Linked DNA regions of Arabidopsis thaliana. The protein of the gene in region 2 interacts with the protein of the main gene of each other region in a biochemical or structural test. Each region holds a gene or a part of one and is shown on either strand. Other genes may lie near its edges.

Region 1 (4,019 bases), on a different chromosome or scaffold from region 2:
ATATACTATGTTCGACTTTACGTGTTAAAGATACTTACATAAAATTACTAAGGATAACTATTTTTAAAGTTTGGTGTTAATTTCTTTTTAATCAACAATTTTTTGTTTTTGTTTTTTTTTGCTATTTTTATAGCGAATTTAAAACTACTAGACATTGACCAAGAAGACTGATAATGCGAGGGAACCACATTCTAGCAAATCTTGAGTCTTGACCATCATGCCAAAATGTTTTACTAGGAAGAATATCAATAAGCTATCATCTTTTTCTTTATTAAATCAGTTTAGATTTTACATTAGAAAGGAACAAGTTGAATATTAACAAGACTTTTGACCATAATAAGAAAAAGTTATGAATTTTTGTATTATGTTCAGAAGAGAGTGTATTGGAGATAATTTGGAGAGAGCAGATTGAATATAGGTGACCAACCAAAAAAAGAAGAAGATATCATCTGAACAAACTTATTAAAGAACATTGACTCTCATTTCTCAGTTAAGTTGGTACTGAAATACATCAGGGATACTCTTGAACACAAGATTGGTTCATATGAAGGATCAGAGTGTCATAATCATCTCAGAATTTTTTTATACTAACTTTTATTTCTGATCCAGGCAGAACAAGATATATAAGCAAGATTAGTTTTGCAAGCTAATAAAAATCTTAAAAGTTGAAGACTAGAGTTGCAAACATTTCAAAGAAGCTCTCTAATCACTTTGAATTGAACGTTTTTTTAAGGTTGACAAGAATCAAAACAGAACGAGTACAGTTCTATGTACATACATCTCTTCATATATGTTTTGAGTCTCAACATCATTTTGTTACAGCATTAGCGTTGAGAAGTATTGTTCAAATTCTTGATCAATGGTAGGCTTCTTTGTCTCATGTAGAGTAGAATCATCTGTACACATGAAACCAAGTTAGTGAATCCCCGGTTCATTGAATCAATACGGTCAAACCAAAATCCGGTTTTCTTTACCTTGGTTAACAGTCCATCTTCCAGAGGACAGAACAAACTTAGCAGCATTACTACTACATCCTTTAGCATCTTCCTCTTCTTCTTCTTGTTCATCGAGATAGAGAATGTTTTCAATGACTTTCTCTGAAAAATCCTCTAAGTTCTGAGTCCCATAGATGTAATCTAGATGGCTTTCGAAAGAGATCATCTTGTCTTCACCGCATGATCCAGATGATTCCTCTTTCATCTCTATATCATTGTTACACTCCATAGAAGTTGTTGAGTTCACATAAGAAGACATTGAATACTCTGTATCAATCTCCGAGTTACCATTTGTATTCTCTGAACAAGCAACATTGGCAAAACAAGTGTGTTTTGACAGAGGTAATAACGATAACTCATCAGATTGATCTGTCTGAAATTTCCTCTTCTTGCTCACCTCAACTTCTTCCATTTTCAACACATTTTTACTACTACTTATGATCATGTGATGGAAACTGCAAAAAAAAAGAACAACACATATTAAGATAGTGGATGGATCTTAATCACCAAATATATGAAATTGACTTTATTAATCTTGAACTTAATAAGGGTTTAGGAAAGAATAACAGGAAAACTTTCTTAATCTCAACGATTAAATAAGCTAAAATCAAGATAAAACTTCAATCATCCTCTGCAGCTATGATTTTTGGTCAACCATTGACATGAATACATACATAATCAGTCAATCCTCTGTATCTTAAAGAAACTGAGAAGAAGCATAATAAGAAATTTGATCTCTAATGATAATATATAGGAATAGATTGAGAAACTGAAACCTGTTAATCTCAGATGGCTTCTCGTTGTTGTTATCCACTTCCACTTCAGGCATAGATCGCAGAGAGAGAGAGAGAGATAGAGAGAGTTCAAAGATAATTGTTTTTCTTATTACTCTTTTAAAAAATGCTCTTTCCACTTTCAGAGGGTCTGAAAATCTGGAAACTGCGTAACTTAAAATACATAAATTAAGCATCAAGTGTACGACGCGCTACGTTGGAGCGTGTATTACACGAAACATTTGAATCCGTTGATCTCGTCGACATGGTGTTTGATTTGGCGCGTGAAAAGAGTCTACGTGTTGGCGAGGTGACCCATCTTCTTACACGGGACCGTTTTTTATTTTTATCTTTCGCTCCATACGATTTTGCAATCTTTTTTACTATTGTCCCATAACGATTTTATGGGCTTTTGGATGAGGATGTATAAATATTTATCAATTTTTCCCTTACATAGGTATAAATATTCATTATCTTACAAAGATAATAGTTTATAAATTTTATATCATTATTTAAAGAAAATAATATGATGTAGAACTGTCTTTTTAAATTTCTATTAAAAACTTAATTTTAGAAGAATTTGGATTTTTTTTACAAAAATTTTTAGAAAAACTTCTCAACTATTTGGTAATTATTTTTTTGGACAATTTGTTCTTTTTCCAGATAAACTATTAGCTTGGTACCATAATGACAAAATAGTATTTTTAGTTCTTTACTTGGTCTGGTCTACTAGCTAAGCAAAAAAATATCTTACTAATAATTTATAATAATTGACACGTCATAATGTACTGGATCACGTGCATCGCATGTTTAGACGAGAGTATCATATGGCGCTGTCTGATGATTTTGGTAGCATTCATCATTGCAACTCGTAAGAAGAAAAGCTGAAACCAGATCTTCCTTCGTTAACTGTTTTCAGCTCCAGCTTCTGAAACGGACTGTCCAGAAACAAAATATCATCAGGTTTTATCTCAAACAACAACAGATTATATAGTTTGTATCTTGGACTAACCTGCTGTTTGGATCATAATAGAAACCGCTGATGGAACCATCGCTGCAGGAGAAGCATACGTAGTAAAATCCAGCTATTGTTAGTCCACAATCTGTGCCAACGTTTACAAAGTATTGCTCTTTCCATCTCTGCACCACCACAAAAATAAACCCGAGTTGCAGGAATTATGGAATACTTGAGAGAAAATGATGATTGGATTCGATAGGAAAAACTGAGAGTTATACCATAAATATATAAGGATAATTGTTAAGATCCAATTGCCTGCCACCATCAGATTCAACTTGTCCCTGCAGTATTAAGTCCAGAACGTTGCTTAGGAGATGTTACTGACTATACAAACAATGTTACTCGAGTGTTACCTGAAGAGGCGAAAAAGACGGGAACTTTGACCAATGTCTCATATCATCTTCCCTCCTGTGACAAACAAACTTTCAAAAATTTATTCACGATAAGAAATCATCAGTTTCAAATCTACAAGAATATAGGAATTGGGACATACGTTGCTTCCCATTTTCCGGTGTAAAAGGTATAATTCTTTCCATCAACGATTTCCCCTTCCCAGAATGTTATGACCTGACACTCACAGAATCAAGAATCGTGTCCCCTATTAGAAATTCAAGGGGAAGCAATATGAAGAAAAAATGAGTAAGAGTGTAAGGGCTTACAGGAGTGTCTGCCATGGGAACGTTTAGAGCTTCCATGGTGCCACAAAGATAACCATGTTCAAGGTCAATACCCTGTATCTGGACGTTGACTCTCCAAGCTTCCTCCTTCTGTTGATTAGAGACATTTTGCGTACCAGAAAATGCCTGCAGCACAGCATAAAAACATGTGTGTTCCTCATCTTTAGGTTCATTATGAATAAACAATCTCTTTGAGCCAATGAATGTTATACAATCCCAACTAGATACAAATGCACTTGAATTAAGCATACATGTCAACATGAAAAAGATATGAAGCCAATCAAAGCAGACAAGGCCAACTTCTAATTGGTATAACAAAAATCAGCATTACTAGAGAATCGTTATGCAACCAGAACACTTGAACAAGTTGCAGATCTAATGGGAAGAAAGTAACTAGACCCATGATGTTTGTTGCCTGCCTATGAATGATGCTTTGTGCCTGAACAACGAGACACGAGATCTTTAAGTTCTTTTATGCTAACCTAAGTAGCTAAACATCATGGAAACTTATAACTTTCCTTCTCATCTTACCATAGCCTCTCTCTCACAAATTTCA
Region 2 (4,016 bases):
AAAGCTATTGGACCGGCTGATTCATAGAAAATGGCTAACAAGTTGATCAATTTCTATGGAAAAATGTTTTTACCTATTGTTGTATATTGTTCCTGACCAGAACAAGAGTTTTGAACTTTACAGTGGGTGTACAGCTTCATAGTGTTCTTCTTCCCAGGAGGATCAACAAATTTGAAAAGCGGATTGCTTCCGTGGCACGCAATGCTTGGCCTGTTTGTTTACATACTTGCTGTCGGGAATGCAGCTTTAGGGTTTCTGGAAAAGCTGACTTTCTTGGAGAATGGAGGGCTTGACAAGTATGGATCCGAAGCATTTCTTATCAACTTCACGGCCATTATCACTATTCTCTTTGGTGCCTTTGTGGTACTCACTGCTTCTGCTGAGTCTCCTTCTCCTTCTCCTTCCGTCTCCAATGATGATAGTGTTGACTTCAGTTATTCTGCTATATAAAACACTTTCTACATTCCACGTTACATCTGTATCGCCCCTTGTACTCTCAAAACTCCATTTATGTATGATGCATTTGTAGCGAAAAGCTTTGTGTGTTACGGCTTTGCTACTTCTGGTGTGTAAAATCTTCAATGATATTGATGAATCTTTTAAATCATTTTCTTTTCTTTTCTTTTCTTTCATATTGCCATTCCTTTAACCATATATGCTATTTGCCTTATTGGTGTCAAAGCATTTAAGACAAAACAAAAAACAAAACATTTTTTTTCCGGTTTTGCCTTAGAAATTTGATTTACATTACAATAAACGCAATTTACGTCGTTGTTGATGGAGAAAAGAATTCAGCAGAAGAATTACAATCTGAAGCCTCTCTATAAATATGATGCTCCTGCTTCTTACATTTGGAACCAAACACAATGTCGTTAAGAGTCCAGTTGCTGTTGTTGATCATCATTTCGTTGTAATGGAACTGATCAACATCACCCATTTCTTCATAAGCTGAGAGAGTCTCTTCGACATTTGGAGCTTGACTGTGCTTAGAGTCGGTAAACTCAGAGGAATAATCGGTGTGGGGATATGAAGAAGAAAGCCATTCAGAGAAGAAAAGCCTTGGAATCTCAGGAGCAGAAGAACATTGATGGCTGTTATTTCCGTTGCTTTCTTGTGAGGGAGATGAAGATTTGTTCTCTAGAAGTCTCTGGAAGGAGAACACGTGATTCGAGATCAAGGTTTCCGGATTTCTTTTTCCACAAGCAACAAGTGATGATGATGAAGACGAAGGAGGGGAAATAGATTTTGCATCTTGTAAGCTCTGAGACTTGAGCCATTTCTTTTTCAAATGAGAGTGCCAATAGTTCTTTATCTCATTGTCTGTTCTTCCCGGTAAGAATTTAGCTATTTGCGACCACCTAATTACACCTAAATCATTAGTCTCTCTATAACTAGCATCTGCTAAAACAATAGGGTTAGGTCTTAGAGATACACTTACTTGTTACCCAAGGAAGAATGAAACGTCAAGATAGTCTCTTCTTCTTCTGCACTAATCATATCCCTCTTTAACCCTGGTCTTAGGTAATTAATCCATCTTAATCTGCAGCTCTTCCCATTCCTTTGTAACCCTATCAAATTAAATCCCAACAACAATTATCAAAGTTGACTCAGTTTGAGAAACTAAAAACTAATAAAGAAGAAGATGAAAGAGAGACCAGCTTTGATGGGAACAGTGGTCCAGCAAGAATGGCCATAAGAGAGGATGAAGCTCCTTAGCTTCTCGTCTTCTTCAGGTGACCATAACCCTTTCCTATGTCTCTCTCCATATTTCGTCTTCGCCATTTCTCTTTAGTCAGCTGTCTGTCCTGATACAAGAAAACATGTCTCAATACTATATATGGTGATTGAGACAACATATATATCACCAAACGTCCACAGATAGAGCCTACATACTTGGTGTTAAGAAATGACCAAATGGGCCTGCTTAGAGTAAATGACAAATGACATATATATTTCTATTTTTATGAAAATTTGGGATATAATTTATGTGTTAATTTCTTATGAGTATACTGTATGCATTTGTATAAGCAGTGAGGAGAAAAGTCATAATGGAATATGTAAGGATTAATTAGGTGTCAAAAGTCTGCTTGGATAAATTTAAATTATTGATATAATGTTCCAACTTAAAATAAATTAGCAATTTTCAGTATATATAAGATTTGAGATTCCTACCTATAAAAAAAAAAAAAAAGAAGAATCTTTGCTTGTTTTTGTTCTTTCACTTTGTTTTCTTATTGTTTGTTTTCCTTATATTTACTTCATTTATAATGGACGATGCCTTAAGAATTTACACACTAATCAGATAACATCTTCATATCCAAAAATCTCTAAAATGTCGGCAAGAATTTTATATTAACGACTTCTTTAATTTATGTTTAAATCGCGTCAATGAGTTTTTTGGTTAGAAACGATCATCCGGGTGGAATAATCTGTCTGATTCAATCCAATGATTGTGAATAATGAAGTAATGATTATAGAGAATCATCCAATCTGTTAATCTTTTCGTAAAGCATCATTAGCAAGCAGACAAATTGCATTTGCTAATACAAGTACTTGAAATAATTATTATATGATTTGAGAGCTCTTTTTCTCTTAATTATAAAATTTTGTAGTGAAGTCAACATTGAGCTCCTATTTGCTGCTAGTAATTATTTCATATTTTTTCCTCTCACGATGTTTTTCTTACATTCACACTGACAAGTGGACCAATAATAAGAGTTATTTGAGGAATATTGTGAATTTCAACAATTTGAATTCCTTCTGTCCCGATCGAAATGGCCTGTCCCAATTTTAAAAATACTCTGATTTTGTTTTTTACTTGTTGGCTCTTTTGGCCTGTGGAAAATGACGAGTAAAGAAAATTGAGAGGGAAACAATAAAAAAGTGTCTACCTTGTCTTGGTCGTCTTGATAACATAATATAATTTGCCGTCAAACTAATCCCCAATGAAACACGACTAATAAATTTTATACATCTAATGTTATGATGACTTAATCCTTAGCCCTCGGAGAATAAATTTTATACATCTAATGTTATGATAACTAGGATACTTTAGATTGTTCGTCTACAACAAAACTTCTCCTCCTTCGACCATTAGGCCTTGTGGTATGTTGATAAAACTTTATGAAATATGTTGACAAAGAAGGTTAAACATGGCTTAGTTTTATGCACCAAAATAAAAACATCATTCAACATTGAATGAAACACATGTTTTACGGTTAGAGAAGACAGGCGTTAGTCAAACAATGACAAATGCTTTTAAAAATGAGATACAATAATCTTTGTTTTTTGTGCTGACACTTTGAACCGGTTCTACATAAAAGCCAACAAGTCTATAATGCAAAAAACCCAACTCGCATCATTGGAAAACCCCATCTCTAATCCGGTAGCTACAGCTCTCTACCGTACCTAAGTAACTTACCCATCTGATAGGTTCCTTGTTCTTGAACACACCGAGTCGAAATCACGAACTAATCATGTTGAAATGGAATCTGGATAGCTGCTGCGGAATGGTTGATATAACCGGTCCATATCTCTGTTTCAAGAAAATAATATACGGTTAGATGTTTGAGGTAAAAACCATTTTCCAAAGGTTGGTATTCTGGATATAAGCAAAACCTGAACATTGTCATAGAGTTCGAACAAAGGGACGGCCAAGAGCTTCAAATTTTTGGGCACAGCAAAGTACTCTTTCTCAGACAAGTGAACAATGTAGAGTCTCTTGCATTCCTGCCATTCCACAAAAAAGAGGAGATATAAGGAGAAGAGTAAAGGGAAATTCTGAGAAGCTTTACATTGTGTTTTTTTACTACCTTTGGTTTCGTGATGTGAGGAGGGCAATACGGGTACATCATGGTTTCAAAGTTTGGACGCCACCATGTCGCAACACATTCTCCTACCTGTTAAAGGGACATAAAGTACCCAACGGATCAGGGACAGAGCTATATACATAACTCAATCAGACAACTGTGGACTCATGGCAAAGTCTTCTTTCTTCATCTAGTACGTATATGATT

The links.
Region 1: the proteins of LAF1 (region 2) and FHY1 form a complex in vitro, tested with the Arabidopsis thaliana proteins (one study listed by BioGRID).

The regions. Positions count from the first base shown.
Region 1 is NC_003071.7:15,800,873-15,804,891, forward strand, and holds FHY1 (far-red elongated hypocotyl 1), read right to left. Parts: upstream 1,922-4,019; 5' UTR 1,825-1,921; coding exon 1,772-1,824; intron 1,451-1,771; coding exon 975-1,450; coding exon of another isoform or gene 949-974; exon of another isoform or gene 897-948; coding exon 817-896; 3' UTR 546-816; downstream 1-545. Other genes in the region: AT2G37680 (glucose-induced degradation-like protein), read right to left, coding at 2,628-2,706, 2,781-2,908, 3,005-3,067, 3,140-3,194, 3,280-3,353, 3,446-3,589. UniProt on the Arabidopsis thaliana protein: Key regulator of far red / red (FR/R) spectrum-specific responses essential for the adaption to changing light conditions (e.g. de-etiolation), essentially by regulating PHYA shuttling from the cytoplasm to the nucleus and by directly regulating the expression of some target genes, depending on light conditions and phosphorylation status.
Region 2 is NC_003075.7:13,050,321-13,054,336, reverse strand, and holds LAF1 (myb domain protein 18), read right to left. Parts: upstream 1,835-4,016; 5' UTR 1,783-1,834; coding exon 1,656-1,782; intron 1,610-1,655; exon of another isoform or gene 1,569-1,609; coding exon 1,439-1,568; intron 1,359-1,438; coding exon 764-1,358; 3' UTR 595-763; downstream 1-594. Other genes in the region: ACYB-2 (Cytochrome b561/ferric reductase transmembrane protein family), read left to right, coding at 124-450; AT4G25550 (Cleavage/polyadenylation specificity factor, 25kDa subunit), read right to left, coding at 3,464-3,535, 3,619-3,729, 3,813-3,899. UniProt on the Arabidopsis thaliana protein: Transcription factor that promotes photomorphogenesis in the light by participating in the transmission of phytochrome A (phyA) signals to downstream responses. Probably acts by activating expression of light-induced genes.